7 linked regions of the Xenopus tropicalis genome follow. The protein of the gene in region 3 interacts with the protein of the main gene of each other region in a pairwise test. Links are inferred from orthologs where the notes say so. Each region holds a gene or a part of one and is shown on either strand. Other genes may lie near its edges. The genes, in order: rpl9, ubxn4, vcp, lzic, rnf115, faf2 and ubxn8.

The links.
Region 1: the proteins of vcp (region 3) and rpl9 interact in binary tests that used the Homo sapiens proteins (3 or more experiments, as listed by UniProt). The two-hybrid records come from large-scale screens. The link is inferred for Xenopus tropicalis from reciprocal best matches to the Homo sapiens genes VCP and RPL9.
Region 2: the proteins of vcp (region 3) and ubxn4 interact in binary tests that used the Homo sapiens proteins (3 or more experiments, as listed by UniProt). The link is inferred for Xenopus tropicalis from reciprocal best matches to the Homo sapiens genes VCP and UBXN4.
Region 4: the proteins of vcp (region 3) and lzic interact in binary tests that used the Homo sapiens proteins (3 or more experiments, as listed by UniProt). The link is inferred for Xenopus tropicalis from reciprocal best matches to the Homo sapiens genes VCP and LZIC.
Region 5: the proteins of vcp (region 3) and rnf115 interact in binary tests that used the Homo sapiens proteins (3 or more experiments, as listed by UniProt). The link is inferred for Xenopus tropicalis from reciprocal best matches to the Homo sapiens genes VCP and RNF115.
Region 6: the proteins of vcp (region 3) and faf2 interact in binary tests that used the Homo sapiens proteins (3 or more experiments, as listed by UniProt). The link is inferred for Xenopus tropicalis from reciprocal best matches to the Homo sapiens genes VCP and FAF2.
Region 7: the proteins of vcp (region 3) and ubxn8 interact in binary tests that used the Homo sapiens proteins (3 or more experiments, as listed by UniProt). The link is inferred for Xenopus tropicalis from reciprocal best matches to the Homo sapiens genes VCP and UBXN8.

Annotation. Positions count from the first base shown.
Region 1 is NC_030677.2:36,143,215-36,148,038, reverse strand, and holds the end of rpl9 (60S ribosomal protein L9), read left to right. Parts: intron 1-1,587; coding exon 1,588-1,668; intron 1,669-2,023; coding exon 2,024-2,130; 3' UTR 2,131-2,133; intron 2,134-3,805; 3' UTR 3,806-3,859; downstream 3,860-4,824.
Region 2 is NC_030685.2:84,077,914-84,082,546, forward strand, and holds the start of ubxn4 (UBX domain-containing protein 4), read right to left. Parts: upstream 3,038-4,633; 5' UTR 2,938-3,037; coding exon 2,856-2,937; intron 1-2,855. UniProt on the Homo sapiens protein: Involved in endoplasmic reticulum-associated protein degradation (ERAD). Acts as a platform to recruit both UBQLN1 and VCP to the ER during ERAD.
Region 3 is NC_030677.2:212,815,499-212,818,938, reverse strand, and holds the end of vcp (transitional endoplasmic reticulum ATPase), read left to right. Parts: intron 1-76; coding exon 77-289; intron 290-375; coding exon 376-684; intron 685-977; coding exon 978-1,133; intron 1,134-1,284; coding exon 1,285-1,439; intron 1,440-1,976; coding exon 1,977-2,079; 3' UTR 2,080-2,763; downstream 2,764-3,440. UniProt on the Homo sapiens protein: Necessary for the fragmentation of Golgi stacks during mitosis and for their reassembly after mitosis. Involved in the formation of the transitional endoplasmic reticulum (tER).
Region 4 is NC_030683.2:63,536,874-63,540,905, reverse strand, and holds part of lzic (protein LZIC), read left to right. Parts: coding exon 1-95; intron 96-3,482; coding exon 3,483-3,581; intron 3,582-3,666; coding exon 3,667-3,762; intron 3,763-3,920; coding exon of another isoform or gene 3,921-3,962; exon of another isoform or gene 3,963-4,032.
Region 5 is NC_030684.2:141,763,083-141,767,114, reverse strand, and holds part of rnf115 (E3 ubiquitin-protein ligase RNF115), read left to right. Parts: coding exon 1-70; intron 71-2,430; coding exon 2,431-2,503; intron 2,504-2,648; coding exon 2,649-2,742; intron 2,743-3,022; coding exon 3,023-3,138; intron 3,139-4,032. UniProt on the Homo sapiens protein: E3 ubiquitin-protein ligase that catalyzes the 'Lys-48'- and/or 'Lys-63'-linked polyubiquitination of various substrates and thereby plays a role in a number of signaling pathways including autophagy, innate immunity, cell proliferation and cell death.
Region 6 is NC_030679.2:47,538,248-47,541,358, reverse strand, and holds part of faf2 (FAS-associated factor 2), read left to right. Parts: intron 1-1,129; coding exon 1,130-1,301; intron 1,302-2,346; coding exon 2,347-2,490; intron 2,491-3,111. UniProt on the Homo sapiens protein: Plays an important role in endoplasmic reticulum-associated degradation (ERAD) that mediates ubiquitin-dependent degradation of misfolded endoplasmic reticulum proteins.
Region 7 is NC_030677.2:97,456,115-97,460,146, forward strand, and holds part of ubxn8 (UBX domain-containing protein 8), read left to right. Parts: intron 1-700; coding exon 701-775; exon of another isoform or gene 776-777; intron 778-3,065; coding exon 3,066-3,227; 3' UTR 3,228-4,032. UniProt on the Homo sapiens protein: Involved in endoplasmic reticulum-associated degradation (ERAD) for misfolded lumenal proteins, possibly by tethering VCP to the endoplasmic reticulum membrane. May play a role in reproduction.

The sequences.
Region 1 (4,824 bases), about 180 Mb from region 3:
TCTTCAGTACATTATAAGACATCCAAGCAAAGCTCTGTGTACCCAGCTGACAGTTGCTATTGCCATGCTCAGTCTGGCCTTTTATTCTTAGCTGACCTACACAGAAAAACTGGAAGCCTAGCTGCCCCCCCATATTAAGTCACCAGATAGGATAGTCTGGGCTGTATCTCTAGGAAAATCGTGATGGTTACATACCGCAAAAAACTCATAAAAACCACAATGAAATACGTTACTGTTTAAAGTAGTGCTGGGCGGTATGACCAAAAATTTATATCACGGTATTTTTCAAAATTATATCGGTATCACAGTATTTGACGGTATTTTTTTTTCCCCATGCATGATTAGGTGACCACCCCAAACTCCCGCCACCCGCACCCCCCCCGCCACCCCCCCACCCCCCCATCCGCACGCAACCCCCCCACCCCCCATCCGCACGCACCCCCCCATCCGCACACACCCCCCCACCCCACCCCACCCCAAACACCCCCCCATCCCCTTCACATAAATATAACCCCCCACCCCACCCCCCCCAAACACAACCCCATCCCCTTCACATAAGTATAACCCACCCACCCCCACCCCAAACACCCCCCCATCCCCTTCACATAAATATATATTTTCTGCAAGTTATTCCCAGTTCTAAGGGCAGTGGCACACAGGCTCTAATTACTCAATAATTCAAATCAAATGATTTTAAAAATGCCAGCCTTTGTGTGTCATTCATAGTCATTTTCAAGCAAGAATGGCATACTTTTTAGACAAGAATTACTGCAGTGCCCACACTCCCTAGATGTGCCACTACTGTTAAGAAATGCAGTCACCCATTATTTCATTTTGAAATGTTTAGAATTTCTGCGATCCCACAATCTTTAATGGGTGATAGCCAGTTTCATGTAGGTCGCCATTATGTTGGGTAGTTGTTAACACGGGACTACAGATCTGCACTTCTGTAGCAAAAGGGACTGGCTCAGGGAATTTTCCATTAGAGCTCCAGCTTCTTTGATTTTTCCCTCTGATCACTTGTGCCCTGGGCAGGCACAAATGCAGGATGACAAAACAAATACTAAAATCACCTGCCGGAGACAGTGTGGGGATACCAAACATGGCAGGTTGGCGGTCATGGTCCCAGCCTAGCAATTAGTCATGCAGTTGTCTAATTGGCATCCTCTAATAAATTGGTGTTAAAAGGACAACTTAGTTTGCATTTTTTTTGTTTTTTGTCCCACATATATTAAGTCAGCAATATTAACCAGATAAGCTCTAAAAATATGTTCTGAGATGGTTTTTATAAGACGCAGCCAGTGAAAGGTTTAAGGTAAACACCCTTACATGCTTTACAGTGTTTCATAATAACAATTTTAAGGCTTCCCATTCTATGTCTTTGGGGCTCAGCACATTATTTGTCTTAACATTCCACCTTATTTACATGGTGGTGATTAAATATTACATATTTTGTTTAGAATGAATATGTATTCAGGTTTTAATTCCCTTTTAATATACATGGTGGTATGATGCTTGCATTAATGAAAAAAAGCACACTTGTAGAAATCCACTAATTTTATTGTTGTCTGTACTCTTCTATTCTAGGTGTTGCATGCGCCTTATCCCAAGCCCAGAAAGATGAGCTGATTCTTGAAGGCAATGACATTGAACTTGTATCAAACTCTGGTATGTTAATAAACACATTTGGTGTTCCCAATAATGACTGGCTGCCAGACCTAGATGTGCAGCAGGTTGGGTTAGTCTTGAATAGTCTTAAAGCTTTAACCTTGGTTAATCACTTTAGCTCTGCAGAAACACATGGAATAATCTAAAATCCAGTTTCTTAAATTTTTACATTTCTGTTTAATAATTGTGCAAAATTGGCATGTTAAATTATCATCCCTTATTGAAATCTGACTAACTTTAGTCATTAATGTGTAGATCAAAATCAGTGTGAGGTTTTAACAAGTAAAATCATATGTAGCCATTATAGATGGATTTGTCTTATGTTATTTATACCTATATTTTTTTATTTTTAAAGCTGCCTTGATCCAGCAAGCCACCACAGTAAAGAATAAGGATATCAGAAAATTCTTGGATGGTATCTACGTATCCGAAAAGGGTACAGTACAGCAGGTTGAAGAATAAAAGGTTTGTATTTGGACACTCCAGGGTTGTTTTGCCCAAAATTATGGCCAGTTGTACTGGATTTTACTAAATGATGTTCTCTTGTGTAGGAATATGTCCGCTGCTTAAAACGGGAATTAAAATAGATACACCAGTGCTCCCCTTATGTAAAGAAATCAGTTTAGGACAATGTTGTACATTACAAAAATCTTCATTATAGACAATAATGTACAATCACATAGTAAGTATAGTGTAAGCATATTGCAGTATACATACCAGTACCCTTAGTTCCAAAACACCAGGGTTTCTCACCACCTGGTATCTTGCCTGCTCATATTTTATAGACTAAGTTATTTTATAAAGTGTATTCTAGTGTGCGTTTGCTTGTAAGTACTTAAAATACCTTTTAGTAGAGCTACCATCAAAAATACCACCTAAAACTTATTAAACTGATTTTAATATAGAAACACAAAACATATATGTTACATGTGAATGCAACTGCAGTTGAAAGCAGTAATTCTGTCCCTTTCTGTACTCCTGGTGTTGATTCTTTGAAACAAGGTAGAGGAAGTCAAGGCTCCATTTTCTCAGTGGCTTGTATGCTTCACTAATAGGATAATCAACTGGATCTGCAAGGGGGTGGGACAGAACTTGGAAGTTGCCCCTCACTGTTTCTTGTCTTGTATAAAAAGTGTAAAAACTGATCTATTTTACCACGAGAGGGAGCCTTGGATCAAAAAATGTTAAATCTACTGCAGATAATTGGATAATCCTTGCCCAATAGTTTTTAGGGAAAATAGTTTAAATCCTTTAAAAAAAGGCTGAATACTAATTTCTAGCATTGGTTAAATGAATAGACCTTGTGCTAAACATATACTTTGCCTGTTTTAATTAGGGTTAATATATGGTTTGTTTCTTGAACTAAACTGCAAAATCTGAACTTGAGTCTCACTGTACTTTTGGTGCTTAGGATAAGGTAACCAGATCACTTGAAAATTCAGGGACACTTGTAACATTGTTGGGCAGCACAAATTGCATATAAAATAAACTGCAATCAGTTCAGCCCTGCTAACTGGATTTTCTAGACGTGCCCATAATTTTCAAGTGATCTGGTCACCCTAGCTTAAGAGTACAGTCAAAACCATGTCAGTCCACTGTGGAACCCTCTGTATATTACAACAAACCCCTCGCTTCCTCCAGCTAAAGCCTTTGTTAGGCTGTGTGATAAGGACCAGTTCATTATACATATGACTTCTTATTGGAGGTGCAAGAAATATCAAACAATAAAAACCCAACCAATATCCTAATAGGCAAAAACCACTGCTTAAATTACATTTCCAATAACGCATTGACCTTTCTGCTTTCTATACATGAGGCTGGTGTGACTTATGCCAGTTTTTTCACTGCCTTTAGAATAAATGAATAACCTATCTATACCAGGCTATTGGGTGTTCTGGATGCAAAGTTGTTTTTAATTATTAGCAGAAGGATAAAATGAAGTTTTCCAGCAGGTACCCTTCGTGCTGCTGTGTCCTTGTTAGGCTTGTGGAACAAGTGGTTGTTTCAGCCTGCGTTTATCCACAGGCCAAGAATCTGCCACATGTAGCATAAGCCTTAGTATGATAGAATGCATAGCGTTGGTAATGGGCTTTGAACAAATTTGTAGTGACGTATATATTTTTTTCCTTCTTTACAGCCTGCAAAAGTCTGGTTCCTGTACTGTTCCAAAAATAAAGTCCCTTTATCTAAACTTCTGACTTTTGTTTCTTTTATTGGTTTGAGATTCTCTTATAGACTATTTTGGGCAATAGCCTTGACGTTTTTAAAGCATTAAACATGCAAAAGGGATTAATCGTTAACTTTCCGTAAGTGCATACATTTTCAGAAGCTTTTTATGGGTAATATATTATGGAGTACCTTTGGTCATATTTTTTCATAGCCTTGAACATTCACACCTGGTTGTATTTTTGTGGGTAAAGTGGAAGCTGTGGTTTGTCAAGTCTCTGTGACCAACATACACTTAATGCATAAGATCTTCATTAAAGTGGTGTGTTTTGGCTCAATGGATTGGTAATGTTTTAAAGTAGTCTTCCAATAAATGTCCATTGCACAAGCTTTCTTTTTTGTTTTGGAGTTAAGGTAATAAAATGCTCTTGATTGACTTATACCATAACTTGAGAAGGCTAATCCATTAGATCCTAACCAATTGTTGGCTCACATGAAATCCATGTCACTTCCTGCTTCTATCTGCTTGTTAAACCACCCCCTGCTACAGTAGTTATTAATTCTACCATTCCTGATAAGTTCTCATGATGGCAAGCTCCACTTGGGCCATCTGCTGCATAAGTCATTATCTAGTTGGGCTTTAGGGCAATGACAGATGGGACATTGTCACCTGCAGTTGATCTCTGCTACAGCAGACGACAATGTCCCTTGTTTCCTTGCGAGAACTTCTGGGCAACTTTGTGTTATGTAGGTTTGCCCAGCACCATTTTGCATGTTAGCCTGTGGAGAGGAAACAAGGAATGTTTTGTTGCCTGCTGTAGCAGATTAATTATGAGATACAAAACATCCTGTCATTGGCAAGAAAACAGAGGGGCCCGTTCCCACCGTGTAAAGTCAATGTAAACAATCTATTAATAAATTGCACTTACAGACATTGAAGTACAAAAAAAAAGATGTGAACAAGGCTTATTTAAACCCTATTCCCTTATG
Region 2 (4,633 bases), on a different chromosome or scaffold from region 3:
GTAGCTCTGCCTGCCGCCTCTGTCTGTCACCTAATACCCAGATTTCATCACAACAATAACCCCCCCCCCTCACCTATAACACACAGGCAGCTACAGACACCACCCACAGTACTGGGAGGGCTGTGGTTTATTTGCTCTCCCTTTGTTTAACCTTCTTATGTCTCCCAATAAGGGCAGTGAAAGCATTTTGTTGTGACAGTTTGGCAAAGAGCTGGCGAGACTGCTGGCGAGACTGCCCTACAGTGACAGGGAATGAGCAGCTTCACGGCACAAACAAGACAAACACAAAAGAAACAAGATGGAGGCCCAAGGCTCACTAGGATGTTATTTTCAAACTACGTAGCAACAACGGCAGAGAGGATGCCAATGGTGCCGCTGGCCCAACTGTGCCAACTGTGCCAGGCAGTCTAACAGAGAGACGGGCTATAATTACTGGGATAGAGCAATAATGGATTTTATTATTGCATCCAAGGGACATCTCATAAAGAGACTGTACTGTAGGGCCAGGAACTCGCAGTGACTGCACTTTGCACTCTCAGACTGAAGCCAATAAATAACTGCCTGCGAGCCCTTCAGAGATGCTCTGTCTGTCACTCTAACTGTCACCCCGTTCCTCATTACTAAATGGCTAAAGTGCTGCCCCTCTATTGGATGGGTCCCCTATACACGCAGTAATACCATCCAATAACAGCATTATTAGCGGCAGCGACCTGGGGCCCCTTTGGCAGGCAGGCACAGAGTTGCCCAGAGAAGCCCCCAGGATCCATCTCCATTCACACACAGGATGCCAGTGACAGAAACTGTGCAACCCCAATCCCACCCCCGCTACCAGCCAACAAACACAGGCTGACAGTTAGTAAAGGCAGATGCCTGACAGTTACCTGTTTCCCCCCAATCGAAAAATTACTCCTTTTTATAAGCCGACAGCTACTTGCCTGGAAATAACAGGGTTCCCCTTTACAAAAAACTGAGCATCTACCCACCCAAGCCTGGTCCTACTGCCCCCCATTACTATTGATGACACGCTCATTAACCCTATCTACTGGTCCTACTGCCCCCCATTACTATTGATGACACGCTCATTAACCCTATCTACTGGTCCTACTGCCCCCCCCATTACTATTGATGACACGCTCATTAACCCTATCTACTGGTCCTACTGCCCCCCCCATTACTATTGATGACACGCTCATTAACCCTATCTACTCGGCACGTGGTTTGGGGGGGGATCTCTCCTTCTCTCACCATATAAACCCCACTGTCAAAACCTGTAACTTTTTCTTATGCAAAATTGCCAAAATCTGTCCCTTTCTGTCACCCGTAACTGTCAGGCTGCTCGTACATTCTCCCCAAATTTCTGCCGAGGGTATCCCCCCTGTCTCTGCAGAACTCACAGACCCCCCCTTGGGGCTCTCGCATAGACCTGAACTAGGAACTGGCACTTATACTGCAGTGTCACCTATTTGTGTCTGTAAGTTATTTAGACTGTAAGCTCTACAGGCCAGGGACCTCCATCCTCCCGTCCTCGGTGGAATCATTAATACAACTGTACTTTATATTTATTTGTATTTATTCCTTTGTACCTATTATTGTAATGAACCTGTTTGTTTATGAATTCACACATACGTAGCATTATATACATGAAATATACATACATACCAACAAGCTGACAGTTACTAGGCAACCCCATGAACACTGACAATAATAATGGCCCATCATAAAGCTGACAGCTTAGTATTTGTGGCCTACAGCAGCCTCTGGGCTACAGAGAACAGTTCTAATGCCCCAATATGTTGCCTGGGTTACCCACATACTGACATTCGGCAGCGAGTCCTTGGGCTCCACTCTGGCAGGACATTGGTTATAACAGTCCCCGGGTTCCCACTATACTGACAGTTAGCTGTGCCAGTCCCTGGGCTATCTCCATGATGCCAGATGTACCAGTACATGGGCTCCCCTCTGACAGGCAGTTAGTAGCAGTACATGGGCTCCCCTCTAACAGGCAGTTAGTACCAGTACATGGGCTCCCCTCTGACAGGCAGTTAGTACCAGTACATGGGCTCCCCTCTGGCAGGCAGTTAGTACCAGTACATGGGCTCCCCTCTGGCAGGCAGTTAGTACCAGTACATGGGCTCCCCTCTGACAGGCAGTTAGTACCAGTACATGGGCTCCCCTCTGACAGGCAGTTAGTACCAGTACATGGGCTCCCCTCTGACAGGCAGTTAGTACCAGTACATGGGCTCCCCTCTGACAGGCAGTTAGTACCAGTACATGGGCTCCCCTCTGGCAGGCAGTTAGTACCAGTACATGGGCTCCCCTCTGGCAGGCAGTTAGTACCAGTACATGGGCTCCCCTCTGGCAGGCAGTTAGTACCAGTACATGGGCTCCCCTCTGACAGGCAGTTAGTACCAGTACATGGGCTCCCCTCTGGCAGGCAGTTAGTAGCAGTACATGGGCTCCCCTCTGACAGGCAGTTAGTAGCAGTACATGGGCTCCCCTCTGACAGGCAGTTAGTAGCAGTACATGGGCTCCCCTCTGACAGGCAGTTAGTAGCAGTACATGGGCTCCCCTCTGACAGGCAGTTAGTAGCAGTACATGGGCTCCCCTCTGACAGGCAGTTAGTACCAGTACATGGGCTCCCCTCTGACAGGCAGTTAGCTAAACTGACAACTATAACAATCATTGCCCCCCCCCCGATACTGGCAGCCCTTGTGCCCCTATGATGCCCATATTATGCCCCTATGATGCCCATATTATGCCCCTATGATGCCAGACAGTTGGCCGTGCCTCAGGCCCAGTTGCCCCTATGACAAGTTGCCCGATACACTGAGAGGCGGGGAATCCATTCTCCTCACCAGCCACGAACACCACAAACACGGAGTTGCGCTGCTTGGCGGCCGCTATAGCCTCCGGGATGGAGCCCTGGAACCACAGCATCGTCCGACTCCGCTGCCCGCCTCCTGTCACTGCCCTCACTGCCCTCACTGCACACACACAGACGGTGACGAAGCCGGAAAACAGGATGTGACGTAACGCCGTCCGCTCTCACGCCGCACGCAAACAATAAGCCACGCCCACGTGGGGCGGAAGTGAATACTGAGCGCAGCGCTGATGGAGTTTGTTGTCATGGAAACAACCAAGCCGCCATACGCTCTGCCCGTAATGATGTCATACGCATATGCAGTTACCTCATACACTAATTGCGCCTATAATTACCATCATTGCGTCATGTTTTATTCAGTTTTGCTGTATAGTTAATGTAGGCCATTCTCTGGGGTAATACCATTTATTTTGCCCTTCCCTCCCACCCAATCAGCAGCTTGCTGGGCTTGCCACCTGTTTAGTTATCAAGTTCAATTCATTTCTTATTGTTACAGAAATAAAGAGCAAATTTCTGAGCTTTCTGGAAAACTGGTATAACAGAGCCCATACAGTTACCCATCAGGCAGAATAAAGACAGAACTAGGGCTGCCAATCAAACTGACTGGAATTCCAGCCAATTGTAAGCGCTGCAGTAACTGCACTCTGGCATCATAACCCCGCCCCTAGCTTTGCTGCCCCACCCCTATAGCTTTGCTGCCCCGCCCCCTTTGTTCAGGTTTAGCACTGGCAAAGGTGGTGACCCCAATGTTTTCCACAGCACTGCCCTCAGGCTCAGGCCAAGAAAGTGTCCGGACTGACCAGAGCATGGGCTGAGGCAATGGTGCCGGACACATTCCTCCCTTGAAAATGGAAAGAGGGACAAAAATAAATAACGCACGGCAAAATTTTACCACGCCCCCTAAATACCACTCCCATTTGACTAAATTTGGCAGGTTATTTAAGGTCTGAACACATTTCTGGGGGGTTTGGGGTCCTGCTTCAGTGCAGGAGATGAGGGAAATGAGGGACAATTCAGTAAGAATCCGGGACTGGGAGCTGAGCTGTCAAAAGAGGGACTGTCCATATCACACCATTAAGGTTGCGCCAGATGGGCCGTACCCCAACAGATCACTGCCCGAGATGTGCAGCTAGCCCTGCTAACTTTCATATCCCCATATGCAGTCACTAAATACTCATCAAATAACTTAGCCTTCCCTACTGTGACTGCTCCTGAAACCTGCTTGCTAGGGGTCCTAGACAGTATAATTGCCCAAAATAGCGCCCAGATACGCTACAGAATACTCCTATGCAAAAAAAACAGTCGCAATGCATTGGATGGGCCCTACCCTGCCCACCATTACAGCCTGGAAGAACCTAGTGAATGCGGTTGCCCCTCTGTATAAACTCACATACGAGACTAGGGGCGCACCTGACAAATTTGACAAAGTTTGGGGCCCTTGGTGTTACCTAGAGGGAAATTGAACAATCTCGCTCCTAGTTACATAGTATAAGGCGTCCTCCCACCTTGTTCTGCCACACCCTGAACACGTAGTTCAGTAGGGTGACGGACCCAATATGCTGGAACTGCTGCCAAACATACACACTCTGTAATGTCACAACCTATCCCTTCAATGTTTGTAACAAATTTTAAAGATAAACCTGGAAAAGAAAGACCAATGCATTTTCCTCATTGCATTGTTAAATGTGTTATTTTATGTTTTTGTTTGTATGAAAAATTAATAAAATACACCTTTCAAAATATAAAAAAAAA
Region 3 (3,440 bases):
GATTCCCTTTGCCGACTTCCTTGTTGCTTCCTCCATTTCATTCCACTGTTACTGACGCTGATTTGTCCCTGCTCAGTATCCTGTGGAGCATCCAGACAAGTTCCTGAAGTTCGGAATGACCCCATCGAAGGGTGTGCTTTTCTACGGGCCCCCCGGGTGCGGTAAGACTCTGCTGGCTAAGGCCATTGCCAACGAATGCCAGGCCAACTTCATCTCCATCAAAGGGCCAGAACTGCTCACCATGTGGTTCGGAGAGTCTGAGGCCAACGTCAGAGAGATATTTGACAAGGTAAGGCCCCTCCCACCCCCTGTAACTGCGTGTGCGCTGGCGCCCGTACGGCACCCTAACAACCAGCTCTTCCCCTCTGCTCTCAGGCTCGGCAGGCCGCTCCTTGTGTCCTCTTCTTTGATGAATTGGACTCCATTGCCAAGGCCCGAGGCGGCAACATTGGAGATGGTGGTGGAGCCGCCGACAGAGTCATTAACCAGATCCTCACAGAGATGGATGGAATGTCCACAAAGAAGAACGTCTTCATCATTGGAGCCACCAACAGGCCAGATATTATCGACCCCGCCATCTTGCGTCCCGGCCGTCTGGATCAGCTCATTTACATCCCACTGCCCGATGAGAAGTCCCGCATTGCCATCCTGAAGGCCAACCTTAGGAAGTCTCCTGTTGCCAAGGCAAGTCATTACCCAGGAAGGGGGCAGAATGTCCTTTTATTGCCCAACTGGCTTTATTGGTCCCACCCCACACCCAATAAAAGGCATTTAATTGGTTCCTTGTGTGTATATGATAGAGACTTTAGATTACCCATCCATCTTCCAGTCTGTCATTCAAAGCACTGCCTGGTTGCTATGGTCGTGGGAGGCTTTAGCAACCAAGTGCAGCACAAAAAGTTAATTGTTCTGTTTCTGTGGGGCCAAACCTCCCATGCTCCATGTAAGTTACTGACGCCTGCTGCGATTCTAAACAGGATGTGGACCTTGACTTCCTGGCCAAGATGACCAATGGTTTCTCCGGTGCCGATCTGACTGAGATTTGCCAGCGTGCCTGCAAACTGGCCATCAGGGAATCCATTGAGAATGAGATCCGAAGGGAGCGAGAGAGGCAGACCAACCCCTCGGCTATGGTAAGGAGGCGCTCGCTGTGATTGGGGCAGAACATGGGGGGTATTATAGGATGTCTCTGGGGTTTGTGCCTCACTGCGCCCCCCGTAGCCTGGGGGTCCGGGGGTTTCGCCTTCTACTGACCCCTCTCTCTGTTTCCCCCACCGATTGCAGGAAGTGGAAGAAGACGACCCTGTACCGGAAATCCGGAGAGACCACTTTGAAGAAGCCATGCGATTCGCCCGCCGCTCCGTCAGCGATAACGACATTCGCAAATACGAGATGTTCGCACAGACCCTTCAGCAGAGCAGAGGATTCGGCAGCTTCAGGTAACGCTGAGCAGCGAGGGCCGTCTCTTATGCCAAGTGCCAGCGTGGCCCCTTCACTTCAGCTTATTGGTCCCTGTATGGGGCCCTCCAGCCTAACCAATATATGGCCAAAAGTTGTACAGAAAATTCTAGTTAGGAGTTGGGATCAGATTGGTGCGTTGGTGGGTGTCATTTCCCAGTGTGACCTCTCCTTAGGCCTCTGTTATTGCTTGGGGTTCTGATCATACAAATCTGGGCCAGGGGCTGGTACCGGAGACGCTAAGGGTCCACTCTGTGACCTTGCCCAATGGGCAGCTGTATAATGTGTTGCCACCCTAGTCACTAAGGCAAAACACAATATTTTTGCAGCACAAAAGCTTTATCTGTGCTTATTGGTGCAGAGTAACTGCACTTACAGACCCTGGCATGGGGGGTGCGCTGGGCACCCTGATCCCCAATATTAACACTTACGGCACCCTGATCCCCAATATTAACCCTTACGGCACCCAACCGATTGCTTGTATCATCCACATAAACTGCGCATTTGCTCTCTGTCAGATTTCCCGCCGGGGGTCAAGGTGGAGCCGGTCCCAGCCAAGGAGCGGGCGGAGGCAGCGGCGGCAGCCATTTTAACGAGGAAGAAGATGATCTGTATGGTTAAAGAGTCGGCCGACTCGCCCCTCGTTGTACAGCGCAGAAATTCCTACGTTAATGGACACTCAGCTTTTCATTCCCCAGTCCCGGCAGCGTAGATGCACCCCCCCCACTCCTATGATTTGTTACACGGCTGTGAGAAGGGGAGAGCCAAGTCTCTCAGGATTCCGCCTTCAACTCTTACTTTTCTCTCCTTTCCCTCCCCGTCCCCCCCCCCCAAGCGGCCCCTGTGCTCGCGGCGTCGAGGGCGGGGAATGAAAGTTCTGCCCCTCCCACCGAGTGACTTTGGACTCCTTTTACCACCTGTGGGGGGAGGATCCTGCAGATCTGGTTCTGACTCCTCCAGTTTCAGCTGTTTTGCCTTCAACTGTTCATCCAAAGTGGGTTCTGTTGGGTTCTGGTTCTGTTTGGGGGAATCGATGCCAAGATTAACCCTTTGGCTGCCACCGTGCCTGGGGAGCTTTGTAGCCGGGCACCCTGGCAGTGAAAGGGTTAATAGAGCGGCAGCGGGGCCCCAGGGTGTTGCAGGGTTCTCCAGCTGTGATTGGGTCGCTCCCTCTCCTGTGGGTATGAGAAAAGCAGAATAAAAGAAATTAAACATTCTCTGAGGGTTTTTTTCCTTTCATTTTTTTCATGTTGGATTGAAATACGGAGGCTCGAGCGTCTCGACAATAAACTGACTGATCTCTAATGCGACTGTCTCTTTGCTCTTTGTAATTGAGTGGGGGGGGGGGTTATTGTATGTCTCCTCACCTGTGGGTATATAGGTGGCACCAGAGCACCACTCGGACCCCCCATACAGGGTAGGGTGTAATAGGAGTGGCTACTGGGCACCCACCTGGGTCGGGTCTGTCCTGCTGGGGAACATGGGCCCCCACTGTCTTTGTGAGAGCTTCCACTGGGGGGGGGGGGGGAGAGAGAGAGGCAGACAGGCAAGTGTGGGCAAGGCAATACTCTGAACCCAATTCTGCAGGGATCTGGCCAGCACTTGTGGGGTTGATGCCATACTCTGAACCCATTTCTGTGGTGATCTCGCTGGCACGTGTGGGGTTAACGCCATGCACTGAACCCATTTCTGCGGTGATCTTGCCGGCATGTCTGGGTCATTCTGAGGGGGGTGATTTATCTTCTGAATCAGAACGCTGGACCCAAATTTACATGCAGTTTTAGTGGCCGAGTCGTGATTGGATTTGGGGGCTGAAACAAAAGGTTTTTCCTAAATTCCAGCAGAATCTGAATTCTACTAACGATGGTTGTGATTTGTATTAAACGGCAGAGATAAATCCCATCAGCAGCTGCTGCTCCATAGAGTGTGTGTGTGTGTGTATATATATATATATATATATATATATATATATATATATATGT
Region 4 (4,032 bases), on a different chromosome or scaffold from region 3:
AAACACTAGAGCAGCTTAGTGAATTTAACGATTCATTGAAGAAAATTATGTCTGGTAACATGACTCTAATAGATGAGTTGGGCGGGATGCAGCTGGTGAGATATTTATTTTTAATTGTTTTAGGTACCACTTAAAGGGGGCATATTGCATATATTCCTTGAAATCACTTTTATCATGTAGACAGCGATAAATAATACATAATCCCTTTTTAGCCAAATTGAAATCGGGGACTGTTACCTTTACAACATATATATGTGTTGGAGTTCCTAATAGATCCTCTCTGAAAAAAATCAATTACAGCTCTGGCTTTACTCATTGAAAGTTCTTTATCAGGTCTACCTAGCTTTTGCATAGCTGGCATTCTACAATACAAATTTATATGAGCCATTTGCTCTCCTACACAGCCTGAAAAGTAGGCAGAAATAAGTAGAAAGGTTGGGTAATGTTTTGGGAAAATTTTAATAAAGCAACACAAAAGGCACATTTGTTCTATTTTTAAGGTGTATAATTAATAAAATAGCGAAAACTTATCAATTAACAATGTTACCATTAGGGCAGAAGTAAACGTAAACACTGGAGTAAACACGGAATTCACAACAAATTTTGCAGGCTCCTACCTGTGTATCTCTCTCCTCACCGTGAAAAACCACCTACGCTGCTTCAAATGGAAACTCCATTCCTCTCATCTAAAGGGGTGGCCTCTGGTGCATTGATTGTTTTTATGGGAAAAAAGAACACCCCCAATCTGCCTATAATCCCCTCTAATGTACTTGTACATTATGTAATTAGTAATCCTGTCCCCTCGCAAGCGCACGGTCTAACCTCATAGCTTAAATCTTCCATCCCCTTTACCAGTTTAGTTGCACATCTCTGCACTCTCTCCAGCTCATTAATATCCTTCTTAAGGACTGGAGCCCAAAACTGCACTGCATACTCAAGGTGAGGCCTTACCAGGGACCTATAAAGAGGCAAAATTATGTTATCATCCCTTGAGTCAATGCCTTTTTTTTATACACGACAGAACTTTATTTGAGAAATTAGACAACTTGTCATCTACAAAAACCCGTAGATCATTCTCCATTAAGGATACTCCCAACAAACTACCATTTAGTAGATAGTTCACGTTTACATTATTTCTTCCAAAGTGCATAACTTTGCACTTCTCCACATTGAACCTCATTTTCCAGTTTGCTGCCCAGTTTTCCAATTTTTTTCAAATCGCTCTGCAAAGTGGCAGCATCCTGCATGGAACTTATAGTTATATAATAAAAGTATAGTAAGTATAATAAAAATAGAAAGCAGTTATAAAAAAAAAAATGTTTTAAAGCAACAACCCAGAAAGTACTCCCGGTAAATGAGGACTTCCGCTGCTGTATATGTTTTTGTGGGAAGGGTTATTTTTTCTATAAATGTAGTATTTTTTTTTTACTATTATATTTATCTTTTGCTATGGTATCATTTTGATTATAATCCCAGGTGAAACCTAGCTCTGTTATTCATCCATAGAGGGTTATGTTGAATGTTAAAGGAAAATTAAAACCTAGCCCCACTCCACTGCCACCCCCTCCAAGCTCCCTCCCTGCAGCATCTCTTTTAATTGTCCTGACCTGCCATAAATTTGCACAGTTGCACAGCAAAGTTCAAATGGGCCATCTTCCACTCTCTTCACATCCTCTTCTGGTCAGTGTAAAACTGGCCCACCAGGATACCAGGAAAACTCCCAGTTGGCCCTCCTGCCTTTTGACCATTTGGCCTGTTTCATGGTCATTCCCTATTTCTGAATGGGAACAAAGAGGAGAAATAGATGGAAGAATAGATGCTAGCATGTAAATAAAAGAGACTAAGAAAATAAAGAGGTTGAGTGAGGAAAGGAAGAAAAATAGTTTGGAAAGTGGGCCTAGGGTCTAAGGTTTTCTGGTGGGGCCCCTAGGTTCCCAGTCCGACACTGCTTCTGGTAGAGCGACGACACAGATCTTGGAGTAGCATGCGCAGTTGAATATATGTCCTGAATCAGCATTAACTGTGCATACTCCTGCAAGATCTGTATCTACAAATGACAGAAGAGGATCAGAAGACTGACAGCACGCAACTCAGCAGATTTATTGTTGGTTAGCTCACAAGGAGACTTCTGAACAGAATAGCTCCTGCACGGGGGAGCTTTGAGAGGGACAGTGGATGGTGGTGGAGGAGAGGCTTTTGTATTACATTAATGTGCCATGAATGCACAGAAAGAGAGAAGATTTTTGCTACGATCCCAGAAAGCTTTTAAAAATGTTTTTATGTAAAGTATATAATTCAAAGCCTTTCTTGTCTAATTACATTACACAGTATACATACTGTGCACCTGTACAACCCAATTAAACATGAAAAATTATCATGGAAATATTAGATTAAAAATATTCTTGTTATATGACAATAAAAGAAATTCAGATGCATGTGGCATTTTTTATTCCAGTGCCCCATTTCTGCTTTATAATTCACTAGCCCCAGCCACTCTGTAATCATCTTTCACATTTGTCATATATCACCTTGTTGCAAGTTTTCCCCCTATAAACTGTATCTCGGCATGTAAAACCATAACCCACTTTTAAATGCCATTTAAGAACTCCCCCCCCCTGCAATTTTTTGCCTAAAAACAAAACATAATTCTAACCAACTTTGCAATATACATTCATTACACATTTGAAGTGTTATCAAGTTATTTGTATATATTATTGCTTTTAAAAGCAGTGTTTGTGCTTTTCTGTTCTCTGTCCTGATGGCTCTGGCTTTTGCAACAATGTAACAGAAGGCAGTGGATTGACAGACCTGTCTTGCTATAGGAGACTGGCTTTTGCAACATTGTTTAAAAGTCATAGCAAGGAGTTAAAGTGATAGATCATTCTTAGGGCGAGGTCACACAAGGCGTCTTTACGTTGCATTTTTAAAACCGCAGATTTAAGCATAACTACAGCAATAAAACAGCACACGGCTGTTTCTCAGCCTGTAGTTTTTTTTCCCAACATACATTTCAGATTTTTCTCATTCACCATAATTCTGCTGTTGCGCGTTTGTAATGACAAAATACATCTGTGTGCCGTCATTGCTACAGTGCCACTTCTCTTTCCATTGTACTGTCACATGCTAGTGTCACATGCTCTGTACACGTTCCGTATCAAAAAAAGCCTTGAAGGAAGACACCTCGGAAGAATTTTAGTACATTTTTGCAAAAAAAAGAGCCAAGCGGGAAAGCAATCTTAAAGCAAAATGTAGCCGGACTTATTGTCAATAAGTTACAGCATACAACGACGTAAATACGTATTTGCACAATCCATCTTGCAAGAGTTTGGTCACATATCGAAAATACCTGGCGTATTTCAGTCAAGTGTATTTCCAAACCTGTGGAAATAGCATTTCCATGACATATTTGCATTTATTGGTGTTTCTTATTAATTCCGTGTTTACTGTTATGTCATATTTTACATTTTTCCATTCCTATACAGGCAATACAGGCAGCTATCAGCCAAGCCTTTAAGACTCCCGAGGTGATCAGAATGTTTGCTAAAAAACAGCCTGGGCAGCTACGAACACGTTTAGCAGAGGTAACAGAATAAAATATTTCACCAGTACAGTTTTTTCTGCAAAATAGTTTATTTAATACTTTTTTGTTGGTTGTTTTCCTGTTAGCTAGATCGGGATTTAATGGTAGGCAAACTAGGAAGAGATCTATACACACAGCAGAAAGGGGAGATCCTGATTGCGTTGCAGAAACTTGGAGAAAAGGTAAATCTAAACGCAGATATTTCTTTTTATCTATTGTATCAAGCTACTTAGATGTAATTGTTGTATTCATTTCATTTAATAATTTATCTGTTAATTTATGTTTGTGTATTTGCTTTTTCTTTTTTTTTACATTTACATTTAATCGCTGTATACCCCAGGGCCAAAAAACAAAGGCGTTTATGATGATGTGGCATGTGTAGCTATCCTTGGACCACCCGGCCAGCCCTACTATTACTGTTGAGGACCGAAACGTCTGATTCTTTTAAACAA
Region 5 (4,032 bases), on a different chromosome or scaffold from region 3:
TCATCCAACAGATCTTTGCCGGAGTATTCGCAAACCCGCCCTTTCCGGGGTCACCACATCCCCTCTCTTGGTAAGTTTATGGATGGGGGGCCCCCCTATTCCTGGTGTATTTCTGTAGTTGCGCAGGTAAGGATGGGAACAGGTGCGTCAGGGTTACCGTCCCACTGCCTGTCATTAATACGTTGGGATAAGGTATTGCTACGGCTCCCAGCTGCTCTGTACACTCAATGGGCCCAGATGGAGATTGTCTCCCATTACTCCTCCCGCTGATACCGTGTAATAGATACGGTACCACCCCGGCTTCATACAGATCTGCAATGGGCACACTGGGTTTGCTTTCCCTTTAAACCTGGGGTCAGATTACCACTAGCAGTGACGCCCTAGGCCCAAACTGTACCAATGGCACCGACATGTTTATGGGTCAGTCCCCCCTAGGCCCAAACTGTACTAATGGCACCGACGTGTTTATGGGTCAGTCCCCCCTAGGCCCAAACTGTACTAATGGCACCGACGTGTTTATGGGTCAGTCCCCCCCTAGGCCCAAACTGTACTAATGGCACCGACGTGTTTATGGGTCAGTCCCCCCTAGGCCCAAACTGTACTAATGGCAGTGACGTGTTTATGGGTCAGTCCCCCCTAGGCCCAAACTGTACTAATGGCACCGACGTGTTTATGGGTCAGTCCCCCTAGGCCCAAACTGTACTAATGGCAGTGACGTGTTTATGGGTCAGTCCCCCCTAGGCCCAAACTGTACTAATGGCACCGACGTGTTTATGGGTCAGTCCCCCCTAGGCCCAAACTGTACTGATGGTTCCGACGTGTTTATGGGTCAGTCCCCCCTAGGCCCAAACTGTACTAATGGTACCGACGTGTTTATGGGTCAGTCCCCCCTAGGCCCAAACTGTACCAATGGCACCGACGTGTTTATGGGTCAGTCCCCCCTAGGCCCAAACTGTACCAATGGCACAGACGTGTTTATGGGTCAGTCCCCCCTAGGCCCAAACTGTACTAATGGCAGTGACGTGTTTATGGGTCAGTCCCCCCTAGGCCCAAACTGTACTAATGGCAGTGACGTGTTTATGGGTCAGTCCCCCCTGGGCCCAAACTGTACTAATGGTACCGACGTGTTTATGGGTCAGTCCCCCCTAGGCCCAAACTGTACTAATGGCAACCGACGTGTTATGGGTCAGTCCCCCCTAGGCCCAAACTGTACTAATGGTACCGACGTGTTTATGAGTCAGTCCCCCCTAGGCCCAAACTGTACTAATGGTACCGACGGGTTTATGGGTCAGTCCCCCCCCTAGGCCCAAACTGTACTAATGGTACAGACGTGTTTATGGGTCAGTCCCCCTAGGCCCAAACTGTACTAATGGTACCGACGTGTTTATGGGTCAGTCCCCCCTAGGCCCAAACTGTACTAATGGTACCGACGTGTTTATGGGTCAGTCCCCCCTAGGCCCAAACTGTACTAATGGTACCGACGTGTTTATGGGTCGGTCCCCCCTAGGCCCAAACTGTACTAATGGTACCGACGTGTTTATGGGTCAGTCCCCCCTAGGCCCAAACTGTACTAATGGTACCGACGTGTTTATGGGTCAGTCCCCCCCTAGGCCCAAACTGTACTAATGGCAGTGACGTGTTTATGGGTCAGTCCCCCCTAGGCCCAAACTGTACTAATGGCACCGACGTGTTTATGGGTCAGTCCCCCCTAGGCCCAAACTGTACTAATGGCAGTGACGTGTTTATGGGTCAGTCCCCCCTAGGCCCAAACTGTACTAATGGCACCGACGTGTTTATGGGTCAGTCCCCCCTAGGCCCAAACTGTACTAATGGCAGTGACGTGTTTATGGGTCAGTCCCCCCTAGGCCCAAACTGTACTAATGGCACCGACGTGTTTATGGGTCAGTCCCCCCTAGGCCCAAACTGTACTAATGGCAGTGACGTGTTTATGGGTCAGTCCCCCCTAGGCCCAAACTGTACTAATGGTACCGACGTGTTTATGGGTCAGTCCCCCCTAGGCCCAAACTGTACTAATGGCACCGACGTGTTTATGGGTCAGTCCCCCCTAGGCCCAAACTGTACTAATGGCACCGACGTGTTTATGGGTCAGTCCCCCCTAGGCCCAAACTGTACTAATGGCAGTGACGTGTTTATGGGTCAGTCCCCCCTAGGCCCAAACTGTACTAATGGCAGTGACGTGTTTATGGGTCAGTCCCCCCTAGGCCCAAACTGTACTAATGGCACAGACGTGTTTATGGGTCAGTCCCCCCTAGGCCCAAACTGTACTAATGGCACCCACGTGTTTATGGGTCAGTCCCCCCTAGGCCCAAACTGTACTAATGGCACCGACGTGTTTATGGGTCAGTCCCCCCTAGGCCCAAACTGTACGGGCCATGTTAGTAGTGTAACCACATTTGCTATTGTTTGTAGGAGTGGGATGCTGCATTCGAATCCGGGGGACTACGCGTGGGGCCAGAGCGGGTTGGACTCCATCGTCACACAGGTAAGGATGTGGGGGTCTCGGTGCAGTACGATGGCTCTCTATTCTACCTTAATGCAAAGTGTTAGTGTGTTTTAATAAATGCCCCCCTTACTGACCCTGCCATGGGATTTTGGGCTTCAACTTAAAGCCTCTGTTTTTCCTTCAGCTACTGGGGCAGCTGGAAAACACCGGTCCTCCCCCGGCCGACAAAGACAAGATTGTGTCCCTCCCGACTGTCACTGTAACCCGGGAGCAAGTGGGTAGGTCTCTTTCTCTTGTATGTTCCCAAGCCTTTCCATATGGCTGTAAATCAGACCTGCCCCCTACTAACCCAGGCAGAGAGCTGAGTTTTTTTTGTATTTGGGCTGCTTTTCTCCCATGGCCAATGGGGAAGAGAGCAGCCCAAGAGCAGGAAGTATATAGAATTGAGTTTGTTCTGAGAGAAATGGGATTGGCTCACTCAGTGGGAGGTTCTTAGTGAGGCTATTTGTACAATTATTACTCCCTGTATTTACCGTGCGTCTCCTTCTCTTTTCCAAGCAATGGGCCTGGAGTGCCCAGTGTGCAAAGAGGATTACGCCATAGAAGAACAAGTAAGGCAGTTACCCTGCAACCATTTCTTCCACGGAGACTGCATCGTGCCTTGGCTTGAACTGGTAAGGGCCCCCCCCTCCCTCTCTTCACGGTTCAGCAGCTCTCCAGTTTGGGATTTCAGCAGCTGTCTGGTTGCTAGGGTTTCGTTTACCTAAGCAACCAGGCAGTGGTTCGAATAGGAGATTGGATATGAATAGGAGAGGGAGCTGAACAGAAAGCTGATAACAATAATAATTAAATTGTAGCCTCACAGAACATAAAGGTTTTTTTTTTTTGCTGCTGGGGTCAGTGACCCCCATTTGAAAACTAAAAAGGTATAGAAGAGGAAGGCAAATAATTCAGAAACTATAAAGAATCGAAGAAGATCAATTGCAGATTTGCTAGGAATTCTACAACATACTAGTTAATGTAAAGGTGAACTGCCCCTTTAAACATGGGCTTATTTTCAATTGGAACCAGTGGTGCAACTTGGCTGCTCTCTTTCCCAAGGTCAGGCGGGAACATCCCCCTTGGTGTATTCTCACAGGTATAGAGTTCTGATGAATCATGTCTGACCGTGGTTATGCCCAGGCAAAGAAAGTACAGAGAGGTTGGATAAAATTACCCAGGGGGGGTTCCTGCCTGACCATGGGAAAGAGAGCAGCCCAGGAGCAGGAAGTACAGAGAATCAGAGCTCTGTACCTGGGTAAGTACTGGGGGGAGATTGGATTCACTTACCCAGGGGGGGGTTCCTGCCTGACCATGGGAAAGAGAGCAGCCCAGGAGCAGGAAGTACAGAGAATCAGAGCTCTGTACCTGGGTAAGTACTGGGGGGAGATTGGATTCACTTACCCAGGGGGGGGTTCCTGCCTGACCATGGGAAAGAGAGCAGCCCAGGAGCAGGAAGTACAGAGAATCAGAGCTCTGTACCTGGGTAAGTACTGGGGGAGAGAGATTGGATTCACTTACCCAGGGGG
Region 6 (3,111 bases), on a different chromosome or scaffold from region 3:
CTGTCCCCCCAGTTTCTGAACATTAGAAGCAGGGGGTGAGTGAAAGACAGGCCACATGTGTAATGGAAAACATATATACCCTGGGTTTGTGGAATCATATCTCTGTATTTAACCAGGGGCTTCTTTGGGGGGTTAGTGATTTGAAATGCAGTTTTTGTTGCACCTGCTATTAGACCTAAAAAAGTTTTGTGTGTGCATTTGTGTCTCCCTTTTTTTCCCCTCGTTAAAACCAAGTAAAAACAGTAGTTGACCTCAGCCTGCATACTCCAAACCCCACAACTCTTTGCACCCGTGATTTCAATAAGGAAAGGAACAGTGCAATGGATTGTGTTTTATGTAGTTCCTACATGCTATCTGTAAGCTGTGGAGAAGTTGTTACATAAAAGTTTTACTTTTGCAGCTGGATTTCAGCATATTCATTCATTCATACTTTTTGAAGGAACAGATTACAGCAATAGATATATTAGGGGTTTCTGTGTTGCTCACTATTCCCCTTGATGTTGCTCCCAGTGGCCTCAATGCAGGTGCACATTTTTACATTTCTGGTCTGGAAGACCGTTTTAGAAGCAGAACTGCCTGTAGGCTAGCAGTCCACATGGGCTACCAAATAGCCCCCAAAGAACTTTTTTCATTCTTGTGTTGCTCACAAACACTTTTTACATCTGAGTGTGGCTCACAAGTAAAAAAGGTTGGGGATCCCTGTTGTAGAGAGTGCTATTCTGAAACAATTTGCAATTGGTTTTCATTTTGATTTATTTAGCTTTTTCAGTTATTTATCTGTTTGTTCAGCAACTTTCCAGTTTAGAATTTTAGCAGCTATATGGTTGTTATGGTCCAAATTACCCTAGCAACCAGGTAGTAGTTTGAATAAGAACCTGGAATATGAATAGGACTGCAACTGAATAGAAAAGTAAGTAATAAAAGTAGCAAAACAATGAAATTGTAGCCTCACAGAGCAACAGTTTTTGGCTGCTGCGACCAGTAACTCCCATTCAAAAGCTGAAAAGAGTCAGAAGAGGAAAGCAAATAGTAAATAAAACACAGATAAAAAGTTCTATGGCCATTCTATAACATACTAAAAGTTAACTTAAAGGTGACACACCCCTTTAACTTATTGTTCTTTTTGCAGAGAGGAGCGAAACCAGACTCAGGTGCTGAGGCAGCAGCAAGATGAGGCGTATCTGGCATCTCTGCGTGCTGACCAAGAAAAAGAACGCAAGAAGAAAGAGAAACAGGAGCAGAAGAGAAGAGAAGAGGAAGAGGCACAACTCAAACAGATGTTAGAAGAGAGGAAGAAAAGGGTAAAGAATTTTACTCCCTGAGTAGCTAGCTTATACAGTTATAACAGCACTCAGGAAAATGGATCAAGGAAGGTGCTTTCAATCTATAGTTGCAGCCTGCTAGTTGTCACTACAACTTATAGAATCACCATGATTGCCGTGTTGGAAGTTAGCAACAGCTAAAGAGCCCAAGGTTAAAGATTGCTGCTTTGTTAGGATAGAACATTTTGAACCATTTGAAAACTTCCTTATCCGTTATAATTCAGACATTTTAAGCTATAGATCAGTGATCCCCAACCAGTGGCTCACAAGCAACATGTTGCTTACCGCCCCCTTTTATGTTGCTTCCAATGGCCTCAAAGTAGGTGCCCATTTTTAAGTTTTTGCTTGGAGGCAAGTTTTGGAAGCACATAGACACAGTTTTACTCAAAGCAGAGCATCTTGCAGGGTATCACTCCACATGGGGCTGCCAAATAGTCAATCACAGTCCAATCACAGAACTTTTTTCATGCTTGTGTAGCTCACCAGCACTCTTTTACATCTGCATGTGGCTCTTGGATCTTGGATATAGATCCAAGTTATATCATGCCTAAATTAACAGAACTTCCAGCTCATTTTGATTTTTTTTTTTGGCATTGCCATCCCAAGATCCAACATAAATGCACTATATTTTAAATGCAAAGCATTAAGAACCTCTTTGGACAGTCAACCTCAGGAGAACAACTGTTAAACTACTATTAAAGGAATAATATCCAATTAAGGTTTTTTTTCCTTTAGATTTGAGTTAATATTCATTTACGTACTTTTAATCCAACATGCAGAGAAATCTACTGGCTAAAATCCTTGTAAAATGGCAATGCTGCCCACTTAGTTGGGCCTGCTGTAGCCCTGACCGTGTAGAGATTTGGGGGTAAAGTTGCCGTGCCCACAGGGTTTGTATCCTGTGAATGGCACTTCTTTCAGTAATTCTTTAAAGTTTAGCTGTATTTTATTTTATATATTGCTCTGTTTTCTTTATGTATGTGATGTTCTCTATTAACTGCCAGTATTTTATCTCCTCTAATAGAATCTGGAAGAAGAAAAAGAGCGCAAGTCTGAGTGTCTCCCTGCCGAGCCAGTTCCAGATCATCCAGATAACGTGAAAATTATTTTTAAGATGCCAAATGGTACCAGGGTAGAGCGGCGGTTCCTCTTCACCCAGTCCCTGTCAGTAAGTGCCCACTTCTGCATCTATACAACATGTTTGGCTACCACCTTTTTTCCATATTATTTGGCATACCTAAGTTACTGGCTGCACTATAGCTTTGACAGTTTGGGTCAGGGGACTGACAAATTGATAAGAAGGACAGGCTATTCTATTTAAAATTGTAGTCAGAATTCACACTTGAGTACTGTAGGTCCATGCTTACAGGGATTTATCTAAAATGCCTCATCAGGACTTTCCAACTGGTTGTCACTGAGCAGCTTTCTGTATAACCCAGTAGTTAAGTTTGTATGTCCCTATCTTTTTACTATAACTAGCACAATGGGCATATACTGGATATTAGAAATAGTTAGCCAGTGCTGGCTTGTATATTACTCAAACCAAAATGTGCAAATGCATTTATCATTCTCTTGATACCTCTGTGGCTGTCAGATCTATGTGAATGTTAGACCCTTAAACTGGCAGTGCATGCCCAGATTTGGTCTGGCAGTTTGGCATAGTTCAGCCATACTGTCCAACCATCAGAGCAGGTATAGCAAGTTGACGAGTGGGGTAGTTAAGACAGAAAAACCTGCAATCCTGGTGGACTGAGGATTCTCTGCTACAGAAGTTTCCTTTACAGTTCTT
Region 7 (4,032 bases), about 120 Mb from region 3:
TTGTTTACTGTTGCTGTTTCTTTTCCTCTACTTTGGCTGGAAAAAACACACAAAAAGCTATTATTTGTAGAGGGTTCCGGAATGTCCTACACTATTTATAACCACTGAGAATCTCTGTGTCTGTTTCCCCAGTGACTCTTCCTGTTACTTCAATACAAGACTTCCCTCAAAGCAAAGGAACATAAAAGACTACTTTTATGTGCTGCAGTGTTTCTAACAAACACTGTTTTGTGTGCTGAAACTTTCAATGTAAATAGTACCTAGCTCTAACCTTCTTAGTATTTTGACAAGGTTTGTTTTTAATTCACCCATCTTTTTCTTGGCAGCTCTTATTATTATGCATAAAGTTGGGGGGATGCCCTGCAGCGTAGAATGTACTGATTAAAGTATAATATTAATCAGTTCTACCTCTCTCTACTTGCACTAGCTCTTGCACTGCATGCTTGCTGCACCAGAATATCTAGAGTTTGATATAGTTATATATTTGGTAAAATTGTACAGAGACTATGAACAGGTAATGGGTTAATCCCTGCTGTGAAAATCCTGTGTTTGCCCCTATATGGGTGTGAGGTTTACATAATGTTTGGTATTCTTATTATCACTAAACTGTCTTAACTGGTATGGGCCAAAGGAAAACTTGCCCAGCACTAATATAACAGTATTGTTAATTTTATTAGCGCCACCATTTTCTTCTCCCCAGGTAATTACCATTGTCCTAAGATGTCCAAGCGGGCGTGTTTTTAAAAGAAGATTTTACACATCCTGCACTTCAGAAGTAAGTAGTGGGAGCTATATTTACTTTCCTTTACTTGTAATGTTCTAGACAGTGCTCAAATGCATCTGGAAACAGCTGGAAAATATCTGGAAAAAAATAGTCCAAATCCTCAGTGTTGGTTATTGGAGTCCATCTTCTTGTGTGCTCCTGAAGGAGCAGCTACATAATATACCATTTATCTTGGTCCTGAGACTCATGTGCAGGACCATGTGCATTAATATACAGCAGCAGTATACATTGTTATTACTTTTATTATAGTGTATAAAACGAACATTCACCTAGGCTTTTGAAATACAATAATGTATGCCCCGATTCAAGAGGTATGTTACATAGTTACTTTGGGTTGAAAAAAGTCCCATCAAGTTTGACCCTTCCATTTATGCATACCTAATTAAACATACACACCTAATATTCTAAATTAATTGTAGATCACAGTAGCCTTGGATATTTTGCTTAAAGGAGAACTAAAGCTTAACTAAAGAAGTAGGCTAAAAATGTTGTACATTATGGGGCACATTTACTAATCCATGAATCCGAATGGGAAAAATTCGGATTGGAAACTAACATTTTGCGACTTTTTCGTATTTTTTGCGATTTTTTTCGTCGCCGTTACAACTTTTTCGTAAATTGTTGCAACTTTTTCATAGCCGTTACGACTTGCGCGAATTGTCGCGACTTTTTCGTAGCCGTTACGATTTGCTCGTATATTGTTGCGACTTTTTCGTATTGAGCGCTTGTAAGCGGCGGGCAAAACTTTCAGACTTTGCATGATTTTGGAAGCCTCCCATAGGACTCAGTGGCACTCTGCAGCTCCAACCTGGCCCAAGGAAAGTCACCATACTGAAGCTTGAATGAATCCGAAACTTTCGTACTCAGCGCGACAGCTACAAAAAAGTCGTGACAATTCGTAGCGCGGACGCTACGAAAAAGTCGCGACAATTTATGAAAAAGTCGCAACGGCTACGAAAAAGTCACGCCAATTTAGGAAAAATAGCAAAATACCGATCATTACGAAAAAAACGCATTCAGACGCTTTTCGGACGTTCGTGGATTAGTAAATGTGCCCCTATGTTTTGGGCTTCTGTACCAGCCCAAGGCAACCACAGCCTTTACCAGTGAAGATCTGTGCCTCCAAAGATGCCCCCAGTAGCTCCCCATCTTTTTCTCTACTGATTCCCTGCATATGCTCTGTGCTACTATCAGTTACTGAGCTTAGGGAGCGATGTACAATATACTGTATATATAGAATACAAATGTAACAATATAAGGCTGATTAGTAATTCATTTGGATTCAGATAACATGGCAGCTCTGAAACCAGTGCAGTTAGCATCCGAATTTAATAATCAGTAGCCTCAGTTTATATGACAGGCCAGCCTCATTTTCAGATTGATAATTTGCAATGACCCCTAAGCTCAGCTTCTTAACAGATGCTCAGAGCACACTGAGCATGTGCACTGTCCCAGACAGTTCTAACAGAATCCAAGATAGGAAGCTTCTGTGACAACTGTAAAGACCTACATCATTACTACTATAGAGATGCTGAAACTCTTGGCTAGTGAAGTCAGATTAGTACAGGTATAGGACCCATTATCCAGAATGCTCGGGACCAAGGGTATTCCGGATAAGGGGTCTTTCCATAATTTGGATCTCCATACCTTAAGTTTACTAAAAAATTAATAAAACATTAATTAAACCCAATAGGATTGTTTTGCATCCAAGAAGGATTATTTATATCTTAGTTGGGATCAATTACAAGGTTCTGTTTTGTTTCTACATAAAAAAAGGAAATCAGTTTTAAAATTCTGAATTATTTGCTTATAATGGAGTCTATGGGAGACGGGCTTTCCGTAATTCGGAGCTTTCTGGATAACGGGTTTCCGGATAAGGGGTCCGATACCTGTATATAAAATATGGCATTTCTAGCCATATTCATTGTTAGGGTTTAGTTCTCCTTTAAAAGTATTAATAGAATCACAACATCACTTGGAAGGGCATTCTGCACCCTCACTGCCCTCATTGTGAAGAATCACCTACACAGATTCAAATTAAAGTTCTGTTTCTGAAGTCTAAAGGGGTGGCCTCTGGTTCTTTGTACTTTACTATGGGGGAAAATACGTCCGTATGTCTGTATACGTTATGATATCTAGAGCTAGATTATGTATGAAAGAACTATAATGGCCTTTGAACATACCTCCTTCTCCTTTGGAAGTGGGGAGGGTCCAGAACTATTCTTTGTAACTTCTAATCTCTTCACGGGAACCCAATTTAACACACTACTTCTGATTTTAGGTTTTGTTGGATTGGATGAAGAAACTAGGTTACCATCCAGTTATTTATACCATCTACTCCACATTTCCAAGATGCCAGTTAGAACTCAAGAATGGTTCATCATTAGAGGATATTGGGATTTTAAAGGACATGGTTTTGAATGTTGAAAAAAAAGATTCTTAATATGTTGAGTGGGCCGACTGAATCTGATGATCATTCCTGACCAACAGCATCACCATTTTTATACTAGGGGGCAGATTTACAAACATTTGGATTTTCATGGTATTAGAGTATTTTGAAACCTTGACTAAACTCATTTCCACAATTTGAATTGATAAAGCACAAATGTGGAAAAAAATTTAAACTACGAAGAAAGATCTCCCGGTTGTAAAAAAAAGACACCTGCCATCGACTTCACATGACCTTGACAGCTTTTAGATGGCGTATTTTTTTCTTTCTGATTTGTCACAATTTTGTTGCATATGAATGGTGAAAAAATAGTTTTTTGTGCAAAAAATTACGAACCGTGAAAAAGAAAAATTGAACTTTAGTAAATGCACCCCTAGGTGTCAGTATTATACATTTTATATCATGTCTGTGTACAATTTCACAGAGATATGGACATTTATTTTTATATTTTTTGGCCAAAAATTCTTTGTAAGAGATGTGCTTAAGTAACTAAAAGCTTCAGCATTTTTTAACTTGCTCTAGCAGTCAATTATTTAGAGGCTGATGGGTAATTTAAAGCATGATGCTACAGAAGCTTGTTTTCTAAGCTACATTCTTCCTGGATCCTCTATGGGCCATAGAGTGAAAAGCTGGGTTGTCTTTTTGCTCTACTGCGCGTGATGTCCTGGCCTGGGACCACAGAGAGAATCCAAGAACAGGAAGAGTGGGGTGCCTAACATTTTGGTTCCCCTCTTGTCATTGTGCCTTTTCTTCTCCTTTAATACTGATTCCAAGATCTTACACTGTACATCATTATACT